Drosophila melanogaster: one gene and its partners. The protein of the gene in region 3 interacts with the protein of the main gene of each other region in a pairwise test. Each region holds a gene or a part of one and is shown on either strand. Other genes may lie near its edges. The genes, in order: CG32548, Paris, Lim1 and Mdh1.

The links.
Region 1: the proteins of Lim1 (region 3) and CG32548 interact in a two-hybrid assay, tested with the Drosophila melanogaster proteins (one large-scale study listed by BioGRID).
Region 2: the proteins of Lim1 (region 3) and Paris interact in a two-hybrid assay, tested with the Drosophila melanogaster proteins (one large-scale study listed by BioGRID).
Region 4: the proteins of Lim1 (region 3) and Mdh1 interact in a two-hybrid assay, tested with the Drosophila melanogaster proteins (one large-scale study listed by BioGRID).

What each region holds. Positions count from the first base shown.
Region 1 is NC_004354.4:18,434,820-18,442,465, forward strand, and holds CG32548 (uncharacterized protein), read right to left. Parts: upstream 5,763-7,646; 5' UTR 5,590-5,762; coding exon 5,371-5,589; intron 5,258-5,370; exon of another isoform or gene 5,156-5,257; coding exon of another isoform or gene 4,997-5,155; intron 4,944-4,996; coding exon of another isoform or gene 4,875-4,943; exon of another isoform or gene 4,848-4,874; intron 4,442-4,847; exon of another isoform or gene 4,392-4,441; coding exon of another isoform or gene 4,077-4,391; exon of another isoform or gene 4,049-4,076; intron 3,415-4,048; exon of another isoform or gene 3,333-3,414; coding exon of another isoform or gene 2,685-3,332; exon of another isoform or gene 2,671-2,684; intron 2,482-2,670; exon of another isoform or gene 2,309-2,481; coding exon of another isoform or gene 2,183-2,308; intron 1,983-2,182; coding exon 1,044-1,982; 3' UTR 900-1,043; downstream 1-899. Other genes in the region: CG6290 (uncharacterized protein), read left to right, coding at 2,685-3,332; CG32551 (uncharacterized protein), read left to right, coding at 4,077-4,391; CG43841 (uncharacterized protein), read left to right, coding at 4,875-4,943, 4,997-5,155.
Region 2 is NT_033779.5:4,461,154-4,465,575, reverse strand, and holds Paris (parkin interacting substrate), read right to left. Parts: upstream 1,966-4,422; 5' UTR 1,790-1,965; intron 1,736-1,789; 5' UTR 1,731-1,735; coding exon 690-1,730; 3' UTR 501-689; downstream 1-500. Other genes in the region: FIG4 phosphoinositide 5-phosphatase, read right to left, coding at 1-196, 258-338; CG15443 (uncharacterized protein), read left to right, coding at 2,616-2,952, 3,013-3,752; CG15435 (uncharacterized protein), read right to left, coding at 4,017-4,422.
Region 3 is NC_004354.4:8,802,406-8,807,928, forward strand, and holds the start of Lim1 (LIM homeobox 1), read right to left. Parts: upstream 3,400-5,523; 5' UTR 2,602-3,399; coding exon 2,559-2,601; intron 1-2,558.
Region 4 is NT_033779.5:10,392,938-10,398,401, forward strand, and holds Mdh1 (malate dehydrogenase 1), read right to left. Parts: upstream 3,396-5,464; 5' UTR 3,281-3,395; coding exon 3,278-3,280; intron 2,008-3,277; coding exon 997-2,007; 3' UTR 837-996; downstream 1-836. Other genes in the region: Cnot4 (CCR4-NOT transcription complex subunit 4), read left to right, coding at 5,178-5,282, 5,342-5,455.

The DNA of each region.
Region 1 (7,646 bases), 9.6 Mb from region 3:
TTGAAACTTGGACTTAAAATAACTAACAGGTCTAACCTTCAGTTTGCCAATTAAATTTGGTTATTTTTAGTTACTCATATATAGTAGATGTATTCAATTAAGTTAATCCACGGCTTCTCGCAGTGCAGATATGGATATTGAAATGGATGCACACGTGGCCACTCAAAGGATTCGGGGCTCATCATGTATGTTTGGACTGCGCTTCGCTGTGGCCAGTTGAGTCCAACCCCCACCACCCATCCAGTGACCTCGTTCCCATCAGCATCATCCTCGTCCCAATTAGCCGCCGGCCAACCAGGGCAATTGTCTCCGTTCATTGATGCACCACTCGGCGGTGCAAGTGGTGGTGGACTCGAGCAGAGGATGTCCATTCCCATGGATGTCTAATAATACCCCAACAATCGAAGTCCGTCGCCGTTGCGACTGCGACTGGCTGCTCGGATAAATGGATCCGCCAGTGGGATGTACGATGGCATGGGACGGATTATATTAACTCTATAAACAGATTCAATGGCAGCAATTGTGTGCCAATGCGAAGGCGGTCCGTTCAAAGCAATATTAATGCATTTATTGCACGTGAGCTCGGCGGCGTGTTAAAGATGAGCGTTGCCGATTAGGAATGACCCATCATTAGCCATGATGAATCTGGTAAGTGGGGCCAGTTAACTGACCAGCTAGATTCCACGGAGCACGTGCCGATGGTTTATTAGTAATGAAATGCTGTTGGGTCATATAGGATGGATTTGGGCTAATTAAGCAACTAACTAGAGTACATAACTCGAGGCCAGAAGTGCACATTCAAACTCTTCTTCAGGCAAATCTAACCCTCGTAACTTCGTAAGCCATAATCACCATTTGATAAGCCTGAAATGCATCCACCCCTCTAAAAACCAACAATTATCATCACTTACAAAATTTATTCTTGCTTGCCCTAAACAATTCCTCTTATCAAATACCACGAAAATTTACGCAAAAAAAAAGGTGTGTGAAAAAAAAATGAAAATACTAGTTTTGGAAGTCCTTGGAATAACAGCTCATCATCATTAGAAGCTGTAGTTGAGATTGCCGCTTGAGAAGCTCACATGAGAGACGTCCGGCGATTGCTGGTAGGTGGGGGATCCCAGCACGGAGGACATGGGAACGGCCATCCCATAGCTCTGGCGGGTGGTGGGCGCCAACTGGCTGGTGGCGAACTGATGGGCCACCGACTGCTGCTGGTCACGGAGCACGTCCTGCTGCTGCTGCTGCATGAAGCCCATGTGCTGTTGCGTGGAGTAGAAGTCTCCACTTGCTCCCCCTCCCAGACTGTTGGAGCGCAAAGGCGCTGATCCGATCACTCCTCCCGGGATGACTCCAACTGGACCTCCTCTTACTGGACCTCCGGGCACAATGGATCCGGATGCAAGGCGCTCGGGCTGCAGGCCATTGTTGCTGAACTGCGGCCGACGGTAGGCGAAGCGGCCAGCTGCGTTCTGTGCTGCCACGCCCGCCGGAGCGCCTCCCACATCGGCGGGAGCAGCTATCTGGGGGGTTTGGGGTTGAATCTGATGAGCCGGTGATGTTAGGCCGCCGGATACATCGGGATAGTAGTGGTAGAGCTTCTGCAGCAGGTGCTGCTGCTGCTGCTCGAACTCGGCTCGTTGGCGCTGATAATCGAGGAAGGCGGCGTGCATCTGGTCCGCATAGCTGGGCATGTTGACCACGCCACCGCTAACGCCCACTCCTGGTCCGGATGCAGCTGCTACCTGCGGCGATGTGGCGGCCAGGAGTTGCTGCTGCTGCTGCGCCAGGAGCTGCTGTTGCTGCTGTTGCTGCTGTTGCTGCTGTTGCTGCTGTTGCTGCTGTTGCTGCTGTTGCTGCTGCTGGAGCAGCGAGTTGGGCGTGACCTTCAGCTTACCATCGGCCCGGAATCCTGGCTGCGAGTACACGGCAGGATACTGCTGTCCCGACGGCGAGAATCCACCAAATTGCGTGGGAGTTTGCTGCATAGGTTAGAGGAATAAACGGATGAGAATGGAAGCTAAACCAGGACAATTTTATCCTTATTCTGAACTGGCTTAAATGATATTTAGATGAGTGTCTAATGTGCGCAAGTAGTAGGCCGTTTTCGATGTGTAACTTTTGATTTCGTTTTGTAAAATATTCATACAATTGAGCTTATAACACGCTTTCCTTTACTCACGGATGAAAGGCCACGCCCGTGATTCTTGATAATTGAGTGCTGGGAACCCAGGCATCCCTTTCCCCACTGTCCCTCCGCGTCAGCCAATCGACTGGCGTTGCCCCCACGAACTTTGCTGGATCTCATGATTCCCTGTTGTTCCGTTTGTCGCGATGTAAACTTAAAAGTTTTGACGAGAGGTTGTGTAGCTCGAGTGTGGATAGCCAAAAATTGATTTTCAAATTCAGATTTTGATACAATTTGTTTACGAAGTCTGTAGCGGGAAAAATTGTAAAACGAACCGATCTGAACCGACTGAGCGAGCAAGTGATACTGACTGGATAGCTCAACCAGTCCGGTGACACCTGACAGCTGTCGTCGGGCCAATCCGAAAGCCTACTGTGATCTCTACTAGCCATCGGTGCCATGGTGTGGATTCAAATCGATATGTATCGAAGGGAATCACGCGATTCGATGGCTTAAAAAGCGCGGATGCAATGCCGCAACCTTACAGTTAGAAACGATGAATCGCCATCAGCTGGCACTTCTCCTGGTTGTCGCGGGTCTGGCCATGATTGCGGCCAGGCCAGGTCCACAGAATCCGCTAGAGTCGCTGGGCATGGGCGCCATGTCTCTGGCCGGAAATATAGCGGAGGCAGTTCAGAGTGGCGCCGCCATCTCCCGCGACGTCGACATTGACAATCCCCTGATGTCCGTGCACTCGAAAACGGCCGTTGGCTATGGAGATGCCATACGTCCCATTGCCACCGATTCATCCGAGGAGGATCGTCGTCGGAAGCGAAGGCGGCGGAGCCTGCATCGCCTCAAACGCGCTCCTTGCTTCTGGAAAATGAGCGCTGCCGCCACCACAGCGGCGTCCGCCGACGATGACGTGGAGGCCAGACGGAGACGAGCTCAAAAGCGGGCCGCCAACAATGCCTCCCGATCCCGAGTGAGTCCCAAGACCACTGGCAAAAAGAACAAGAAGTTGGTGCGACGACGACGGCAGGAGGAGAAGGGCATGGAAGTGACACAGAATATGGACGGAGCGGATCCCTTGGGCCTGGGCACCAGAATCAAGGCCATGTGGCTTTCGTTTGTGAACAACGTAGCGGATGTGGTGCAGCAGGTGCGCCAGAAGATCACCGAAACGGCCAACTCCACGGCGTAGAATCACCGAGCTCCCTGACGACCACCATCGAGTGTATTTTTTTTGTTTGTTTATAAGTGCAATAAAATCAACTGAAAACCGGAAACTGTGTTGAGCGGCATGTTTTCTGGGTTGGCCAAAAACATTACGATTACGTCTTCATTCAAATATGTACTATAGATTACATCCATTTTAAGACCCCATCATATTATCAATGTAGTAGCCAATTAAGGCCAATCACCTTTGGTAAAAGGTGACCCCAAACGGCATTAGAGTCAAAAAAAACGTGTACTCCGTCTTTAAACTACAAATGCTTGTGAGCTCAACTAAACATATCACCAAGGTGACCCAAAACTTGGAATCCGGTTACCATTTTAAAGTGGCATACCTTTAAGAACTCAACCTTATTTGTTGCTCTTTAAAAAGGTCACCGCCGAAGAGTCACCCCCAATCGATAAAGATTCCTCAGGCAGAGGCAATAAAGCAAAAAGCGAACTGTCATTTCTGAGCAATCCGATCGAAAGTGGTCCGAGGAGAAGGCCATTGGGGTCACCACAGCAACTCGACTACTGAAGGCTGTCCAGATGGGAGATACGGAAACGAGCCGAGTCACGATGAGCCAACGGTCAGTGGGCACTTCCGGGCCAGATGAGATGCATCTCGACATGCATTTCGAACATTTCCGTGTCTGGTCGAAATCTGATTGAATTAAAAAGGCTGGGTACAAAAGGCGCATTCAGGTGGCTGGGCACAACAGTTGGCCAAATGATTTCCGGACCCAGATTCTCTGCCCTACTAATCGTGGCCCTGACCCTCGCTCTGGTGGCCCAAACTTGGGCCGACGAGTTCGATCTGGACTACTCCAACGAGTACGACGATGTGCGACCGCATTTGGTCTATCCCGACGATCCAAGGCTGGACAAGCGGATCGGCGATGCGGCGCGGGAGTTTGGACAAAATATAACCCAAGCCTGGAACGCGATGGTGGACTCGTTTAAGAACTACTTTGAGGAACTCAAGAACCTTTTCTCCGACACCACGGATCTCGATTCACCCAATGAAGTATTTTCTAACCGCTGAAATGGGCGTTTTACTTTCGTTTCGAGCAAATAAAGCGTAGCAAAGAATTTAAAACATTCATTTGATTTGGGAAATATCATCCGTTGAAAGCCAACTTGATTGCTTTTGATTTAGGTACATTTCCAAGCGGGTATTTATAATTATTTTTTGAATACTACAAAATGACAATACTAAGTAATATGGTATACATCTGCGGATGATAACCAATTAGGCACTGAATGATTCGGCTTAAAATGCTTTTCCAACCAACAAAAATGAGATTTTTTCATCTCTGGTTTAATTAGATCTGTAAGCCACTAAGCTAATTGCCAATAACAACCTCGCATGCTAACTAAACCAGATGCTAGATGTTGCATCTAGATTATGTAAACATGAAAACATATCTGTTTTTCGCGTAATTAAGCAGAATAACTAGAAAGTGACAGGTTAAATAGCTGGCTTTCTTCTTGGCAATCAATTATTGGGAAGTGAAGCCATCACAGGATGACATCGCCTATTTTAATCCTGAGTCTAGGTCTGCTCCATTGGAGCATTTCGCCCGTCTGGTCACAGGTAAGATACTTCGTACTCGTATCGTATATCCTTGATACCCAAATTCCCTGCAGAATATGCCCACTGATGTGATGGACGCCGTCGATCAAATGCAGGAGATCTTCGAAAACAATATGCAGGGCCCACAAAGTTCGGAGTATGGTGACGGGACATTCAATGGAACGCCCTTTCTACCCGAACAAGCATCGAACATCCAAAACTTTGGCGGTTAATTTCAATTCGAATTCCAATTCATAGTACTACTCTAAAGCAACGCCATGTGGCTAAATATTAAATTAAATTGAAGAGTGTGTCCGCAACTTTTTCCCTCGTATAATTGTTATCCAGTGTTTTCTTAAGCAATTTTAAAATTCAAGTTTAACTTTATGTGCTTTTCCCAGAGTTTCAATAGTAGATTCACCCCTCACCATTGCCGTGATGTACTTACCAACTGCTCCTGCTCCTGCGGCTGCTGCAGCTGCGGCTGCTCCACCTGCTGGTTCTTGGCCGCTCCTCCGTAGTACCGGGTGAAGGTCTGCTGCACTCCGGGCGTCTTCAGGCTGTAGGAGTTCGAGTTGGCGTCCGTGTGGATGGAGACCTGTGCGCGGCACACCTCCTGCTGGCCGGCAAGCACCAAGGCCGCCACCGTCAAGGCCAATGCGAACATGATTTACGTGGTGAGGCTAATGGATGGTTGATGGCTGGATGGCTGGATGGCCTGGTATTGGAACTCGACTTCGTCTCCCGTTGATTTGGCAGTATGTCCGAGCAACCGTGCAATCGGACTATGGATCGTTATCAGCTAAGCGGACGCGACTCGCGAACGTCGATGGTTGACTGTGCAGCGCCCGCCGACTGTCCACCGATTTTATACCGCCTTCGATTGGGGAATGTCCACGCTTGGCTCTCTGCCTCTGCCACTTCAGTTTTTGGCCCCAAAAACAGCGTACATGCATACATATTTTGGCCATAAAGTTTGGCCCAAAAAATGTTGTACTCTTTACGTCTTAAATGTGTGAATAAAGTGAAGTAAATAATAGTTGAACCAAATTTGAAGATAATAATAGTCTCAATTTTCGGTTTATGAAGCACCTGAAAAATCATATTTTAATAACACTTATAGAATAATGACTTCAGTTTATCATTAGAGCGAAATATTTCACGAAGTTAACTTCTCAATAATAGGTTCAATCTAATCATCCATTAGATTATTTTTTAAAAGGTGTCATTTGATTTTCTCTGTGCAGTTGGAAAGTATTATAGCTTCTATTCGAAATCGTTGCCTGAAATCCAAGATATCTAATGTAATCCAATTGAACTGCTGTGCCTTCAAGTTTTTTTCTTTTTTTTTGACAAAGCTGCCCTACCCTGTCGCGTTTAATATAATTTTCCATAATTTCAATTTCGATATATATTTTATTTTAATTTTCACCCGCATTGTTTTGTTTCACATTTTGCGTGGATAACTTTCTTTAAACTTTGGTGTCTGCCTGCGGAATATGGAATAAGCAATAACAACGGCGGGGAGGAGTGTGCAGTGGAGGGTGTAGATGTAGATGGCAATTCCAATTCCAATTCAAATTGAATATGCTCTTTGGCACTTACATAACAATCCGCCCCCGCTGGGCGAACGGCAAACTAAACATAAACACCGGCATAAAACGTTGTTTATAGGAACGTGCCCGGAATGCGCGATATGTCCGAAAAGCGAAACTTGCAAATGCCGGCTACACGGTGCGAAAACGAGTGCGCCTTCAGACCCATCGTTCTCTAAACGCAGAGCATGATGAAGTGAGAAGACTAGTGGGCTTTTGTCGCTGTGTACGAATGGCTTTAGCCACCAAGATACGGAAGCGGGGTTAAGGCCAGAGTAAGAAGCGAAAAATCGGCTCAATTGGAATGCAGTTTTGATGGCCCAATGAGATTTGGCCCGTTGGCAGGGCAACGATTATTATGAAAGCAGCAAAGACCTGGTGGTGGTTAGTGCGTAATGGTCACTTAAGCGCGCGCTTACCTGCCACCGTTGCGTATACGTGATACGTGATCGTCATAAATTTATTTGCGCATTTCATTATGCGGCGTGTAATTGAAAGCGCATTTCACACGATTGAAAGTTGTCTGTCCCCGACTGTCTGCCTGTCTGTCTGTGTGTTTGTGTGCCTGCTGACCCGCATTACCCCAATAAAGTGACCCAAACCGAGTTCCTAACTTAATGTGCCCCGGGGTAATGGCCATAACTTCTCCTTTCACTCCGGCTGCATTCCTTGGGGCTTGGGTCCTATCTATCCATGTGGGGTCGTACTTTCCGTTTCCGTCCGGGCGTGTTTTCTCCATTAAAGTTGACTTTTCCGAATGAAATGCTTGTCGTTTTACGATTACCCCACCATAAGCCATCAAAATAAACAGCGCAAATTATGCAAAAAAGAAGGAGACCCAAAAAGCAGATGAACACAAATGGAGACAAACTGGTAAAAGTGGAAATGAATGTGGCAGTGGTAGTGGAAGTGGAAGTCTCGCAAGTCAAGTAAATCCAGCCCAGCCAGCTGCTAAATAACGTCACTTAATCATTTTACTGGGTCAGGTCACGGGTGGACGACGCAGCAGCCGAAACAACCGTATCCGAGAAACCGGAGGAGGAGTCGCATCCGCAGGCTGAGTCAGTGGCCCCGCGTTGAACTTTTGAACTCGCGCACTGACCCTATTCCGGACCCATTCCCATTCCCA
Region 2 (4,422 bases), on a different chromosome or scaffold from region 3:
AGCGCACAAATCCAAGGACGCCATAAGCGGACGTCACCTTGGGCGAACCCGAAAGGGAAGCGACAAAACGTCGGATCTCCAGGCTGTTAAACTCGTTGGCATTCTCCTCGATACTCAGCCGGTTGTGGGCAAGTCGGTCTATGGTCAGGAGGCGAAACCGAGTCTCCCGATTGTTGCTGCCCACCAAATAGAGGCGCTGAAATTATGGCGATATATGTGATTAGTCAAAAAAAGGTCAGCTGGAGGTGATTTCTTACCGCTCGTGTCTCATAGAGCACTACTTTTTGGATGGAGCTTATCAGGGGATTGAAAACTATATTCGGATTATCATTGTTCATTTTTTCAGCTTTTCCGAAATTTTTTTGTTACAATTTCTCAGGCCGCTCCCACATAAACAACAAACAGCTGATCATCATCTGTAGTTGGATATGCGAGAAATGGCCAGTGTTGGCAGCGTGAGAGGGAGTCGATTAATTAATTTTGTTTTGGTTCAATCAAATATAAATAACATTTTATTCCATCATAAAACATATCAAAATAGGCATATTCATTACCAACCAATTTTATGCCTTATTCTTACAATACCTATGAATATGTTAGCTTATTTTATCATCTAGCAAAATCATTTTTGTCCATTTTAAAGTAGTGCACATGGAAGATATGTCTTCCAAGTGTTTTTAAAGTAGTGGTCACTTGTGTATCTCGAGGATATGTCTAGCAAGTGTTTTTCTCTGCTTATAGAAACTGGCACAGTGAGGACACTTAAATGTTCTTTCAGCGTTGTGTACGAGCTTGTGCTCCTTGAGAGTGCTGCTCAGCCGAAAAGTCTTGGGACAGTGGGAGCAGCGAAATGGACGATCTGGTAAGTGCAGGCGGCTGTGCTGCTTGAGGTGCTGCTTCATAGCGAAGGCCTTGGGGCAGTGGGAACACTTGAATGGTCGTTCACCAGTGTGAGAACGGAAATGGTTATCAAGGTGAAACTTCCTCGTAAATGTTTTCGTGCACTTGGAGCACTTGAACGGTCTCTCGCTGCCATGTGTGCGGATGTGACGCCGGAGATCGGATGATTTAATAAAGGTTTTTGAGCACTGTGAACACTTGAATGGTCGTTCGCCAGTGTGAGTTCGCTCATGCGACTGCAGAGTGGACTGCTGCGCAAAGGTCTTGGCGCAGTGGGAACACTCGTAGGGTTTCGCTGCATTGTGGGTCTTCATGTGCGCCTTGAGAGTGACTCTAAGTCTAAAGTTCCGCTTGCAGTAGGGGCATGGGAAGGATTGTCCGTCCATGTGTGTTCGCATGTGCCTCAGAAAAGTTCCCTTTCGCTGGTATTTCTTGTGGCATTCTCGACATTCGAATGCTACCTTCTTGCTGTCGCTTTTCCCATCGTCATCAGCAGCGGATGCAGAATCAATCCGCGCATCTTCGTCTTCCGAAATCTCCCAGTCTTCTTCTTCGAGCAAGGCGCATAAAGCATCCTCGATGCCTTCATCGCGAACTCGGCAGTAGAACTGGTGGCTTTCCTCACAAGTTTGCCTTATCCCATACGCGCTCTTTACGTCCTCATAGCACTGTGGGCATATCATTTCCGAAAACAAATCGCCACGTTTGACCTCGAATCCGGTGCACTGCGCGATCATCTCGGCAATGGAAACTCTGGTTCTTCGTCTGGCGTCAAATATGTTAACGAGTTTACCAGAAATATCCATACAAACTCGGCATATTTCCGCCATTATCCCTGTAATAAACAATACTTATTAGGCTGAACTTTATGAAGGACTATATTACTTACCTGATGTATATACTAAATAGCTTATAGCTGGAAAAGCAATCTTTTATAATTTAGGAATCCGTTTCATACATCCCAATTAATTGAAAATTAATGCGATTGCCTTGATGAACAATTCAAAATAATAATAAGCTAAACTTCACATTGTGCACAGTACACTGGGCACCCTATTCTCTGGGCCATATGCTAAATCGATTTATTATCGATGTTCGAAATTCAAATTATTTATCAAAATGATGATTTTTGAAACTAAGGTGTGTTTACCATATTTAACAGCTGAGATAAACGCAAACTTGCAAGGGTCGCCCTGTGGTGGTCAGCCCAAGTTTTGATGGGAAAATTCTTATCGGATATCGATATCCTTTACCTGTTGAAGAATATAAAATTGAAATAAATTTCTTTGGAAAAACAAACATTTATCTTCGTATAGTTTTTTCACATTTTCGCCTAGCTAGTGGTGAATAATTTTGGACAGAAGGAGCACTGGACTTTTTCCGTGGAAATCATAGAAAAATTAAATTAAAAAGGCACAAAAAGGAAATGAATCTCCTCGCCGAACTTCTTTGCCAGTATAAAAATAAATTCACATATGAAAAATCGGGTTCCTGGGTGCCACTGAATATGTTTATCCATCGATTCCGGGCTCAGATTACCACCATTGACCTGAAATTAAATAAGCATTACTTACTCCAAATAAAATATAAACAAACAAGTGCGTACCTTTTTTGTTTACAATTTTAACAGCTGATGAGTGAAGTGCTGTTAACCTTTCATAGTTATCGATAATCTGTTATTATTATCGGAATATTGCTCACTTGCTAAGGATTCCATGAAATTTAAACAAATGGACTTTGTGACGACAACTGGGGAGGGAAGTTTTCTGCGAAACAAGATTCGTGCATATGCCAAGGATCACCGTGTTGAGTGCCGCATAAAGGCGAAAGACTCATTGCGCATTGGACTTGGACAGGTTAAGCAGGAAGTGGCGGCTCTTGAGATGGGCACCAAGGACGTCATTGGAATGGCCAGCAGGATCAAGCGTCGCAAGCACGCCACCTCCGAGGATCTGTGCCGCTTGTCGCTGGGGTTCCTCCAGAGCAATGACAACATCAATGCATTCGCAGCTATTCCTGGCGCCATTCAGGTTCTGGTTAAGGAGCTAACTGGTAACCAACTGCACCCTCATTAGCTTTAGTTTTATATAAAAAGGTTGACTTGACTTTCAGGACCTCACATTCAACGACAGACAGATGCCGTGGAGTGCTTGTGTAATCTTTCCTTGGGCGAGGCCCATGTCTCCGAAAAGATTGTCACTTTGGCGGGCAGCTACATGGTCACCTACCTTGATGGCAAGGCCGAACGCCTCAAGCGCAGTTGCCTGTGGACACTGGCCAACGTTCTGGGCACATGCGACAAGGCCGGCAGCGTATTGCTGCAAATGCAAATAGTACCCAAGCTGTGGAGGCTCTACATCGAGCCCAATGGCTGCCAAGAAGATGCGGCCATCTGCCTCTCCCTGGTGGCCACCCGCTGCCCGCAGCATGTGAGTGACGAGGATCGAAGGTACATTGGCCAGAATCTGCCTGAGAAGCTCCACGGCCAGCCTGCCAGCGAGTACTTCATGTACATAGTGCACCAACTGGAAATAGTGACACAGGAGCACAAGTTAGATGCTCAACAGGCCGAATGCCTGGTGCGTTTCTTTGAAGCCACCTTAGCATCGCCAGCCGACCGGCTGTGCCTAATCTACGCCGTGCGTGTAATGACCAATCTGGTAGCCCTAGGTGACACAAGTCTAATATTCGCACTGGCAGACCCGCAGAATCTTGTGCAAACCCTAAACCAGCTCTTCGCTCTGCGAGATCCAGATCTCAACCTGGACGCGATGCGCTTGCTCAAGAACTGTCTGCACTTGAAGGTAGCAGATTCCAACCTGGTACTGAATAGCTTGCAAATATACGCATAGGCTTATGGTTAAGAATAAGTCTTGCAAATCTCTTTATTGGTCTTAGAGTACATATAAATATAAAGCCACGGACTTTTGAGTACTCGAGAATGTATTGTAAATGAACATGGATTGCCGCTAAGCAAAACTAAATCACTAATGGAAACAGAATAAAATAAATAAATAATAAATAAATACAATACGACAAAAACACAGATGCAAAGTGGTCAACATGATTACTAGTTTGATTGAGCCACCGGCATGAAAAACAGGACTTTGTAAAACCTAAATATCATCCTCGAAGAGGGCGATTATTTGACGCCTTTTGGCTTCGTCGTCGGCGTTCAGTTCATTGCCCCTGTGGGCATTGTGGTTGTGCACCTCCAGTTCGGAGACTGAGTCAAATTCTAAATTGCACTGCCCGCAGCGGGCTGAGAAAACGGGCGCTGGACCCTGCGAAACTGTGCCAGGAGAGACAGCGGCCCGTTGCAGCTTCTCGAGGAACGTGGCTCTCTCCCTGTGCTTGTCCAGCCCGATTCCCAGCGCCGCCTTTCCGCGAATGGGAATGGGTTTTTTCACCGTCGGCGTGCCCTGGGAATGGCAACTTTCAGAGCGCTCAATGGCGTACAGCACGTTGTTCTCCTCCGTGATCGGAGTCGTCGTTCCGCTGGCACAGTCGAATAGAGATGGT
Region 3 (5,523 bases):
TTGCTGTCGTCGTAAATGTCCAACAGCGCAGGTCTAAAAACGGCTAGAAAAATCACATTTCCTTGGACAAAAGCTTCCACGGAAATAATGTTGCACAGAAACAGAGGAGCCACAGACCCCACGATCCCATCCTGCCTGCATACATTCGAGTATATACATATGTATGCATGAGCCTACTACACCCCATAATCGTAATCTTCGGGATCGTAATGATCTTCCTTTGTGGCCAGTCATAAATGTTGATGAACAGCAGCGCAAACTTTTGTCGAAGGCGTTGCCGGTCTGAGCTTTTGTTGCTGCTGCTGCTGCTGTTGCACGTTGCTGCTGTTGCACGTTGCTGTTGCTGCACGTTGCTGTTGCTGCATGTTGCTGCCGTGTTCGCTAGCAGCAACATAAAAATTGAAAAGATGCTGCCACCAAGATATATGCGAAGAAAAATGAGCAGTCGACCAGAGAAATGGCCGATGATATTGGTAATTGAACGACGAGGGGTTACCCTATTCTATTGAAGTTTTGAAAACTAAATTCCTTAAGAATAAACACATTACCAAAGATTCAACGACCTAAATTGGTATCCTATCTTAAGTATTTCCAATACATTTTTTCCATCTCATTTCAAAACCTTAACTATACCATAAAAAATTGGATATCTTTCCTGATTCCAAATTACTTTACGAACTTTCGAAAAAAGATACAGCTACTGCGCGGAAAAGTTATCTTCATTAAGCCGAGTTATATTCAGTGGTACTTTACTTTGTAGTTTTCCCCAACTAAATGCAAGTTAAGTTCATAACTGCCAACACTTAGTCATTAGCTAATGGGTATGTCTATGAGCGAGAAATAAAACAAAAACAAAAAAATCCAACCGAGAAACAGTAGAAGCAGGAAGAAGAAAGCTTGGCAGCTTTACGACTCCACTTGGCATCAGTCCGCCGTCGTAAGGTGGCCCACTGTGCGGGTCTACGGCTTCCTGAACATCCATTTTCCAGTCAAATGTCGACAGCTTTTGACTTGAACCGCCCCCGGAGCTGCAGGCCCCAAGCCCAAAAACCCCAACAGTTCTCTAGCCAATTTATGGGGGAAGTAAGGTGTCGGCCGCTGTATGTCCAATGTCAACAAGTTAAATGGAGAATTTGCAGTTGCAATTTCCATCGAACCTCACTGGTTCGAAAACGAAGCTATTGAGGATTTTAGAATATTTTTGAAAAATTTTTTGTGGTATAAAATACCTTACTACATTTTTACTAATATGTACTTAAATCATTTCTCATTTCATTTCTTTTGATAAGAATCCAAAATATACTCGAAAAGAGTGTTCGGTCTCTAAATCTCTGCAGATCCTTAATTTTGTAGTTTATAAATGTTTTTTATAGTTATTCAAATTGATGGGGAGCTACATACATACATATAAACGAAATATTCCTCACCAACTAATCACAAAATACAAAACTAGAGGGGAGCCTTCATTTCTGAACTTTTTGCTCCCTTTTTACTATTTTTTTTTTTTTTTTTTTTTTTTGTTCCTGACATTAAACAGTCAGCAAAAGTGAAAATTTGACAGAGAGCAAATGAAATAAAACAAAAGCCAAAAAAAATGAGATGGGGTAGAGGAAGAACGGCAGAAGAAGAAGCTGAAAAACTTTGACAACTGCGCAAAAGTTTTTCAGTCCAAAAACGAACGGGAAAACAAGAGGAGGAAAAACAAAACCGAAACAAAAACAGATGAACAAGAACTTCAAAAGCATACAAAATGGTAATGCGAAAAAGAGACGGCAGATGGACGACGGGGCATTAGACGCCCCTCTCCTCCTCGCCGGCGGTCCCCTAAAAACGGGAAGCAAGTTCAAAAGTGCAAAAACTTTGCTGCTGCCCAGCCGTCGCCATTAAAAACTCCTTGGCCATCTTAACCCATTGCGGGCAAGCGGTATTGTATTAACCCACCATCCTAGGGATCGCATTTCGCCGATCCTTCAAGGGGTTGACTTCCTTTTAAGGACTTTCGACCGCACTCGACCCTACTTTTCTTATGTCTTTCTACCACCAGTTGAAAATCTAAGACCACATCCCGTCGGCATAGCGATCAAGCCATTTTTAATAGATTCCACTTTTTTGTCAGTACATTTTTCGAAAATTCACTTCTTTGCCATCTTTTAAAAGTATTTTTGAAATGTGTCATTGGTGTCATTGATCACTCGTCTACAGATTTTATAAACAATTTAAATATTATACGAAGCCTACAAACAGGTGTTTTCATTCTATTTCGATAGAGGACATCATGAATATTACTTAATCTAGATTAGATGTAAACAACTTCTATTTTCGATCTGTAAAATGTTTCATCCTTGACTTCCCAATGATATTATTCTATAGAACTACAAGCACAACTCAAAGATTTAGTGCTGATTCTTGGATGAAATGATTTCGATTGCAGTATCCTATATGTGACTAACCTTAAGAACTTGCCTGTTTGGGATTCTCACTGCAAACCCCCCAGATTTTCTATGTTTTCCTGGACCCTTAACCGCTTAATGCCTAAATTCCCCAAAACGATCACTTACCGATATTGTGCTGGCTGGTGTGTAGTACCGCCCCGAACGCCATCAGATGGTCCTTGGGCGGGGGGGCGCGGCTACCGAGGGCGGCGAACCCGTCGCCCAGATATGACGCCAGTGCGACGGCCCTCAGGGGCGCTTTTGAGGCCTCGGTGAGAATTTTGTTGTCGAATATCTTGATGCCGGGGGGATGGAGTTTTTCTTTTTTTCGGGGGGGTTAAGAGTGACTGCTTTTTTGGGGGGGCCGTCAATGGGTTAAGTCCCGCGTGTGTGTGCGTATGTGAACGAGGCGCGCGTGGGTGTGGATATATGTGTGTGTGTGCGGGTGCGGAAGCGAGAGAGAGAGGGAGAGAAAGATAGGAGCGGGCCCCAACTGCACACTTAACGGTTAACGCACATAAAGACTGGGTGGCAAGGTGCGAGCAAGAGGGGGATAGCACGTGTGTGCCGGCGGCAAATTTGGCAAAACAAAAACAAAGCGCGAAATTCCGCTCCTCTTTGAGTTGAAGAAACTTCCTCCGCTTCTATTATGCCTTATATTCCAGTATTTCTTTAGTTGTTGTATATGAAATTGATTCTTTTCTTTTTAAACACTTTGCACTATCGGCTTTTCGGCGATTCCTTGGTTTTGTTGTATTTATGTGTTGTATATTCTTCTTGTTGTTCAAGATTCTCACTTGCAAAAAAATTTGAACAACGGCAAAAATTCTCGGTTTTCGATCTCGCGGCGGAACGGTAAACAGCTGACTAACGGTAAACGGCTGCGTTGGCTCCTTTTTCGAGCGTTGCCTCGTGCGCTTTGCGTTTTGCGGGCGCTTCACGCGAACGTCAAACAAAAACTGAAAACGGAAAACGGCAAACGCGACGGCAAAGCGGACGGCCCGATTACCGATAGCTGCCAGCCGAGCGCACACGCACACACACGAACGGCGAGCCGAAGCGGCGACGAATGGCGCGCCTGGGTGCGAGCGAGATGCTAGCAGGCGCATCGCTCGCACTCGTGCTACCGAATGCGGCAAGCAGTGCTCGCATATTTCGCCTGCGCCAGAGCGAGATGCAGCGAATGTTGAGCTGGGGCTGCTGCGACGCCGACTGCGCTGCTGGCGGCGCTGCAATGGAGTCGCAGGCTCTCTCGCTCTCGCTTCCGTCGCTTCTCCTGGCTCTCTCGTGTTGGGCATGAAGAAATCATATTATTCTTAAATAAAAAAATTGTTTTTCAAAACGTTTTCTAAAAAAATGGAAAAAATATGACTAGAATATTTGGTATGCATATCTAGATTATTATTAAAAATATTTTGGAAAAGGATATACAATTTCATAACAATTGGAAAAAAATATCAAGAAATCTTAATTTTTTTTCCTTTTTTAGGATTTAATTTAGGTGATTGTTCGATAATACACAATATAAGTTCTTTGAAAATTTTGATATATTTAGCATGATAACTAAATATTTAGTTAGCCTTACTAGATGCTTGTTAGATTCATAAGATTTTAAAAATCCAAAAATTCACTTTTTTTTTAAATTCTACACACATTCTTCTGTTGATCTTGGGCTTTTGATCCTTTTCTCAAGATTGGTGCTGGCGTTGTTCCTGTAAGGATATTTTTGGTTTTTGTTGCTGTTGTTGCCCTTCCATTTTGCCCATTGTTGTTGCAACACTGGCTCTCCTGCTCTCCAGCTCTCTTTTTTGCGGTTAGAGGGGGCGTTGCTAAGCAACTGGTTTTTTTATTGTTGCTTCATTGAGAGATGCGCAAAATGGCGCTCTCTCGCTCTCACGCTCTCCGGCCGTCGCGCCCTCTCGCTCACACTCGCTGGCCGGGCCAATGGCATTTTTCAAAGTGACATTTGCCCGCGTTTTGTCCCTTTCGCACTTGGCGGTGCTTGTGTGCGTGCCAAGGTAAAATGTCAAATGCTTTTCGACTGTCAACTGTTGGTCGCAAAAACTTTTTTCTTTCCTTCTTTTTTATTTTTAGTTGTTGTTTTTGTTCGGCTGCCTCTTCTGCAACTTGTGTTTGTCACTTGTCGTTAGCAGTGCGAAAGGGAGAGCACTAGTGGCGGGGGGTGGTGGGGGCGTTAGCTGGAGAGGGACGCCCCTTTGGCGTTTTAACGCACTGGAGACAGCAAGAAAAAAAAACGGAGGCGAAGAAAAAAAAGCAAAGAAAAAGTGTTAGATAAATTGCAAGTAACAAAAAATTAGTAGAAAAAAACATTTAAAATTGTGCAAAATATTATATCTTTTTCTTTTTCTTTAACAAATGCAATTTTAATAAGCTTTCGATTTAGATAAATCTATAGCAAGACACTTATCGTAAAAATAAACCAATACAAAAACCAATAAAAACCATAAGAAATAATATAGGATTCAAATTGCAAAAATGCCAAAGATCTAAACAAACAACAAGAAAAGACAAAACTGGATAAAATAAAAAAAATGCATAAAATAAGTGAGAGTAAAAGAGAACGCATTATAAAGGTCGGGGAGGAGGCTCCCGCTCTCATTCACTCCTTACGGTCTTCCCTCTCACTCACACTTCGATAGGAAGAAGAAGATGTTCGACACAAAATAAGGGGGCTGTGGTGGGTTAAAGAGCGCCGTTTGCTGTGTGCGTGGATGTGGGGTAGTCAAAAATATTGCACATTAGGGTGTTAAGCTGTGAAGTGCTTGCTTTTTGTTTTTGCGTGTGCGTGTCACTTTTCACTTGTTCTGCGCTATCGAAAAGTTATCGAAATCAGTTGATCTTTGACGGCCTTGAAAACTGCTTTGCCCCAAATTTAGTAAGAGCAAAAGGGATGAGGACATAATAGGAATGGAATAAAAAGGATATTGAAGCAAAAACACTTACATAACTACTCTCGAGGAATAAGATATTTATAATACACTTTTTGGCAAGCAACAAGTTATTTACATTCAAGACCCCAAAAGAACACAAGGAAAAGGAGAATGTCTTGGGTATAAGGAATAGAGGATAA
Region 4 (5,464 bases), on a different chromosome or scaffold from region 3:
TAATTAATTATATACATAATTTCGCGCTAGGGTAGGGCAATCGGAATTAAGCGAGTGATGCCATTATAATCTTAACTGAAATTGCAGAGTGAAGCCAATTTGATTTCCCCGAATGTGTGTTTTATTTAACAGTGACAACGCAGCAGAATCGTTAAGCCACTGAATTCTTATATAATGCATAAAACTTTCTCGATGGTTTTCAGTCGAACTTTTACCGATCATTTCTTAGCTTTCGTATGTGTTTTACACCGCTTACGTACTTCATTGAAACAATTTACCTGTACAATCTTTAGACTTCTTGACTTCATTGATTTCGTTATGAATAAATGGTATAATATAATGTTTATACCTAATAATACATGGTTAAGCTGTCGATTTATTGGTTTTTGCTGCCAGAGGTTTCAATCTGATATTAAGGATCTTTAGTTCGGGGATCCACTGCTGATTTGAGTAGATAGTTGTCAGTTGTGGGCTTAAAAACTATAAGTAATTTGTATAATTTCAGTTTTTTAAATGTCCGTCTGTCTTTCGTAGATCTATAAACGTTTGAGATTATAACTCAAAAACGGTCAAACAATTGTGACTTGCCCAAATTTTACGTTACCCGAATAGTTATCAATGATAAGTTATCAGACTGTCGCAATGGCTTACCTCATTAAGATTTGATTTGAACTCTAATTATTAATCACAGACCACCAAGGAATTTTACATTTGTGTATTTGACATGTGTATTATACACGTAGCCTTCCAAATATACATGTAAAAATACTGATCAAACTGGTAGATAAAATATGAAATCACAACAACTATAAACTCAACGGTCTATTATTTAGTTTATCAGCCATTAAGCCTTTAATCTTATAGTTCAAATCGCTAGCAACAATTAACTTGCACAAAACAAAACCATTTCAGAGCTATTTACAAAACTTTTATTGCCATGAACTTTGTTCCTAAATGCACAACTATGATGTTAGTAATTAACGTTTAAGGATCGCATTACAAGTTGGACACATTCGAGTCCAGCACGGACAGAGCCTCGTCCTTCTCCTCCTGCAGCTCCTTGCCGGTAACGCTTAACTTTGTCTTAGCGAAATCGCTGAGGGTCAGGCCAGAGACGATTTTCCATTGCTTATTCTTGATCTCGACGGGGAACGAGAAGATCACATCCTTGGGCGAATCGTAGCTGCCGTCGGAGAAGACACCCATGGAGACGAACTGGCCGGGAGCAGTGCCGTTCCACCAGTCGTGCATGTGATCGCAAGCGGCCTTCGCCGCCGACATGGCCGATGACATTTTGCGGGCCGCAATGACAGCGGCTCCACGCTTCTGAACGGTTTCCACGAAGGATCCCTGCAGGTAGCCATTATCGTTGATCGCATCCACCACGGACTTAACGGTACCATTGGCGGTCACCTTGGCCTGTCCAGCATCGGGATACTGGGTGGAGGAGTGGTTGCCCCAAATAATGATGTTCTTAACAGCAGAAATTGGCACACCCAATTTGGCGGCGATCTGGGATGTGGCGCGATTCTGATCCAGGCGAGTCATAGCCGAGAAATTTTCGCGCGGAATGGAAGGCGCATAGGAGGAGCAGACCAGGGCATTGGTATTGGCCGGGTTGCCCACAACCAGCACCTTGACGTCCTTCTTGGCGAACTTGTCCAGAGCCTGGCCCTGGGTCCTGAAGATCTTCACGTTGGCGGACAGCAGATCCTTTCGCTCCATTCCCTCCTTGCGGGGCATGGCGCCCACGAGGAAAGCGGCCGAGACATCCTTGAATCCAACAGCCGGGTCGGTGGTGGGCACCACCTCGACCAGCAGCGGCAGAGCGCAGTCGGCCAATTCCATGACCACGCCCTCGAGCACACCAACCATGGGCGGAATGTCGAGCAGGTGCAGCACGATGGGCTGATCCTTGCCGAACACCTCGCCGCGGGCAATCATGTACAGCAGGGAGTAGGCGATTTGGCCAGCGGCTCCGGTCACCACAACACGAATTGGTTCAGCCTGAAAATATATTCACTCGATTAGGAACATTCCTTTAAGTGTATTTCATCTTCCTTTTTCCATTTCTTTATGCATTTTCCGTATTTTATTTCAAGAATGTTCTTAGCTATGTTTAGATGCAGCTAAACTAATTATACTGTAATAAGGGGCGAATTTTTCATCCAGCCTTTGGCTTTGGATCTATATTTTATTTTTAGACGCTTAGCGGCGAGGAAATATATGCGAAAACTGCTAACTACACAAAATACTTCGTATATATCCAGCTCGCCATTTCCGAATTAAAACCCATTTAAGTGCAATTTCAGCAAAATTAATGCAAATATGATAGCTGAAAATAAACAAATGCGTGACCAGGTTTTTTGTTACTGTTTTGAAGTGTGTCTTTATCAGCTTGCATTTGTTGTTTACGATAGATAACGAATTTACTTTATACTTTATACTTTAGCTAGAACTCTTAAATTTCCTCTCCATTTATCTCTGAGCTGGCATTTTCAATAGTTATAGATTTAATAAAACATTTTATAAGTGATGTGCTTTGATTTTTGCTTGCTAGTGCATTTTCCGCCCATCCTCGTTACGCAATCCCAGTTAATCCTTTCCTAAGGGCACTAAAAGTAGGCCACTTGTGGCAATTGACCCCTATTTATGTTTTGCCCTAAAGAAAAGTCACAGGGCATAGTTTCCAGTAAAATGTAGCTAAAGACGGGAATTACTAAACATAACATATATTATATTTTTATATTATATATTTGTCATTGAAGAAGTTTTTAACTTCCAAACAATTGGAAGCGTAACCCCTGGGAGCATTTAGCATTTTTGATAAGATATGACAGATTTGAACTGCATGGACTTTGCTTCACCGCCTCCAATCATCCGGTTTATATAAGCTCTATCTGCTCCGGCAAGAGCTATTAAAACATGAAAACAACATTTTTATCGCCGTCAATTGGCAATTAGCTCGCATTTGCAATAAATTCATGCTTTTGGGGGCCTCTGAAAATGCAACATTTGTGCATACGTTCGAATTGACGTCACTAAGGTTTTTGGTTTTTAAGATTAGCATGAAGAGAGGTCAAATGAATGTTAAATTTCCAGAAAAATTATTGCGACCAATCACACATACCGTCATAACTACACATTATTGTGTACGGCACTTTGAATGCATATGTATGCATATTCTTCACATTTGATAATCAAATATGCAGATTATTAATAATAATTTGATGATATATACTATACGAGCGTAGCGAGAAATCGCCGGCAAGCTTACCATTTTAGAATTTCACAGGTGCAACGCTCCACGGACGAACTTCAAGTAAAAACGTAAATAGGGATCGCCAATTGGGAACCTGTTACTTTTCACAATTATTTTCCAGTCACTACTTTTTGAATAAAAGTAGCCGTGACTCCAACGCAATATGTTTTTGGCAAAATAATCGATTATGTTGCTCCTTACAAATTTACTAAATTTTTAAATAATACAAAGAGTTAAGGAGTTCTCTTATTGTTATTAATATTTACAGTTGCCAAAAAAAAGTAAATACATATATAAATAAATAAAACGATGATAAATGAAAAATTAATAGAAATATAGTTATTAAATTAGTTAATGTAAACAACAAAATTTTGCAGAAAAAGCATCAAATATCATATTTCTTTGCATTATTCTTGGTCACTTTGTTTACACATACAAAATTAGTACCTAGCTATATTTTCATATCTGAAATACGCAAATGCAGTCGTGTGAAGTGATTTTTTCGCTTGCTATTATCGATAGTTTGAGCTGTGGAAAAAAATCGAATGTTTCTTGTGGAAAAAATTGGAGTCTTTAATTTGGCGAATCCATTCGTTTACTTTGCGTTTATTTTTAGCCTTAGTACTTTCGTTTGATACGTTTGCTACCAAGTATTTATAAAAATTAAAAAGCGTTCAAAAACACAATTAACCATTGCAACGTCGTTTCATCAGCTATTCAGAGTGAATAAAGAAAACCTACATCACACCTACAATCATACGTGTTACGTGTACATACATATGTGTATGTATATATACTCTTGCTTATGTACATTAAACATTTGCCGTTTTCCTTTCCAACCAGCCTTTTGTTATTGTCTAAAAATCGATTTTCGTTACCCTTTTATACGAGTTCGTGATTTGCCATAATTAATAAACAATAAATCACAGCTGTGGTTTGGTAAATAAGTGCAGCGTGAACAATGTACGCTTATGTACATAAACACTCGCATATGTGTGCGTATATAGTGGATTAACAAATTGCTGATGTACACATATTAAGTGCTTTTACAATGCATACGCAAATATCGATGCAAATTCTAGTAATTTTGCTTAATACCCACACGTATTTGCATGTCGCCATACTCACACACATGTTCGGTTATTAAACTCTTGAAAATTGTACTTTCTTTTTGATTGTGTTTTAAAGAGAGCTTCCGTTTTAAATTTGAGAACTTATTGATGTACGCAGGTAGTGCGTATATTTCCGAGCTGGTTTGATTTTTGTTATGAAAAGGTATCCATATTTAAAAATACTTTTTGTGTTTGTTTGTCTGCGTTGTAGGCATATGCGTGTGTGTGTATATACACAATAAAATTACCTGACGGCAAACACCTTCTTCGGGTCGCATTAAATTGTCTTTTTTCAAAGGTTGCATAAAGTCAACAATACCACGAATACAATGGGCAGTATGTAAACAATTTTGCACAAATCGCAACTATCAAAAAAAGTGTTAAATATGGATATTAACTAAAGTGGTCAGCTACAGGTGCCAAATGTCCACAACTTGTTTTTCGTAGTGTGCAAAATAACGGGGTGATTCATCTAATAAAGATCGCATGCCTTCCTTTTTTTTAGGTGTTTTAGGTAGACAAAATCATATATGCATAGTTTAGAAGTACAAGACAAGGGAATATTCTTCTTATTTCAATGCAGGTTCATACCAATCTGATGAAAATCCATCCTACAAAAGCTATCCTTGAGATTTAAGAATCTACACACAAAACTTCATCCTAATCAAATATATATATATATATATATTATTTATACATATAAATTTTATTTACTTTCTACAGCTTGGTTCTCATCATTATCAACAATTTTATAAAAATTACAACTGCGAGTACTTCATCACTAATCAACAAATCACCTGAAAATGAACGGCCTGAGCAGCAATGATGATGCAGTCGAGTGCCCTTTGTGTATGGAGCCGCTTGAGGTGGACGATCTGACCTTCTTTCCGTGTACCTGCGGATATCAGGTACATACTGTCATTAAAGCACCCTTATCAGCAGCGTATTCAAGTGCTATTGCTTCCAGATTTGCCGATTCTGTTGGCATAGGATCCGCACGGATGAGAACAAGCTGTGTCCGGCATGCCGAAAGGAGTATCCCGAGAATCCAGCTGACTTCAAGCCGCTGTCGCAGGAGGAAGTATGTCGT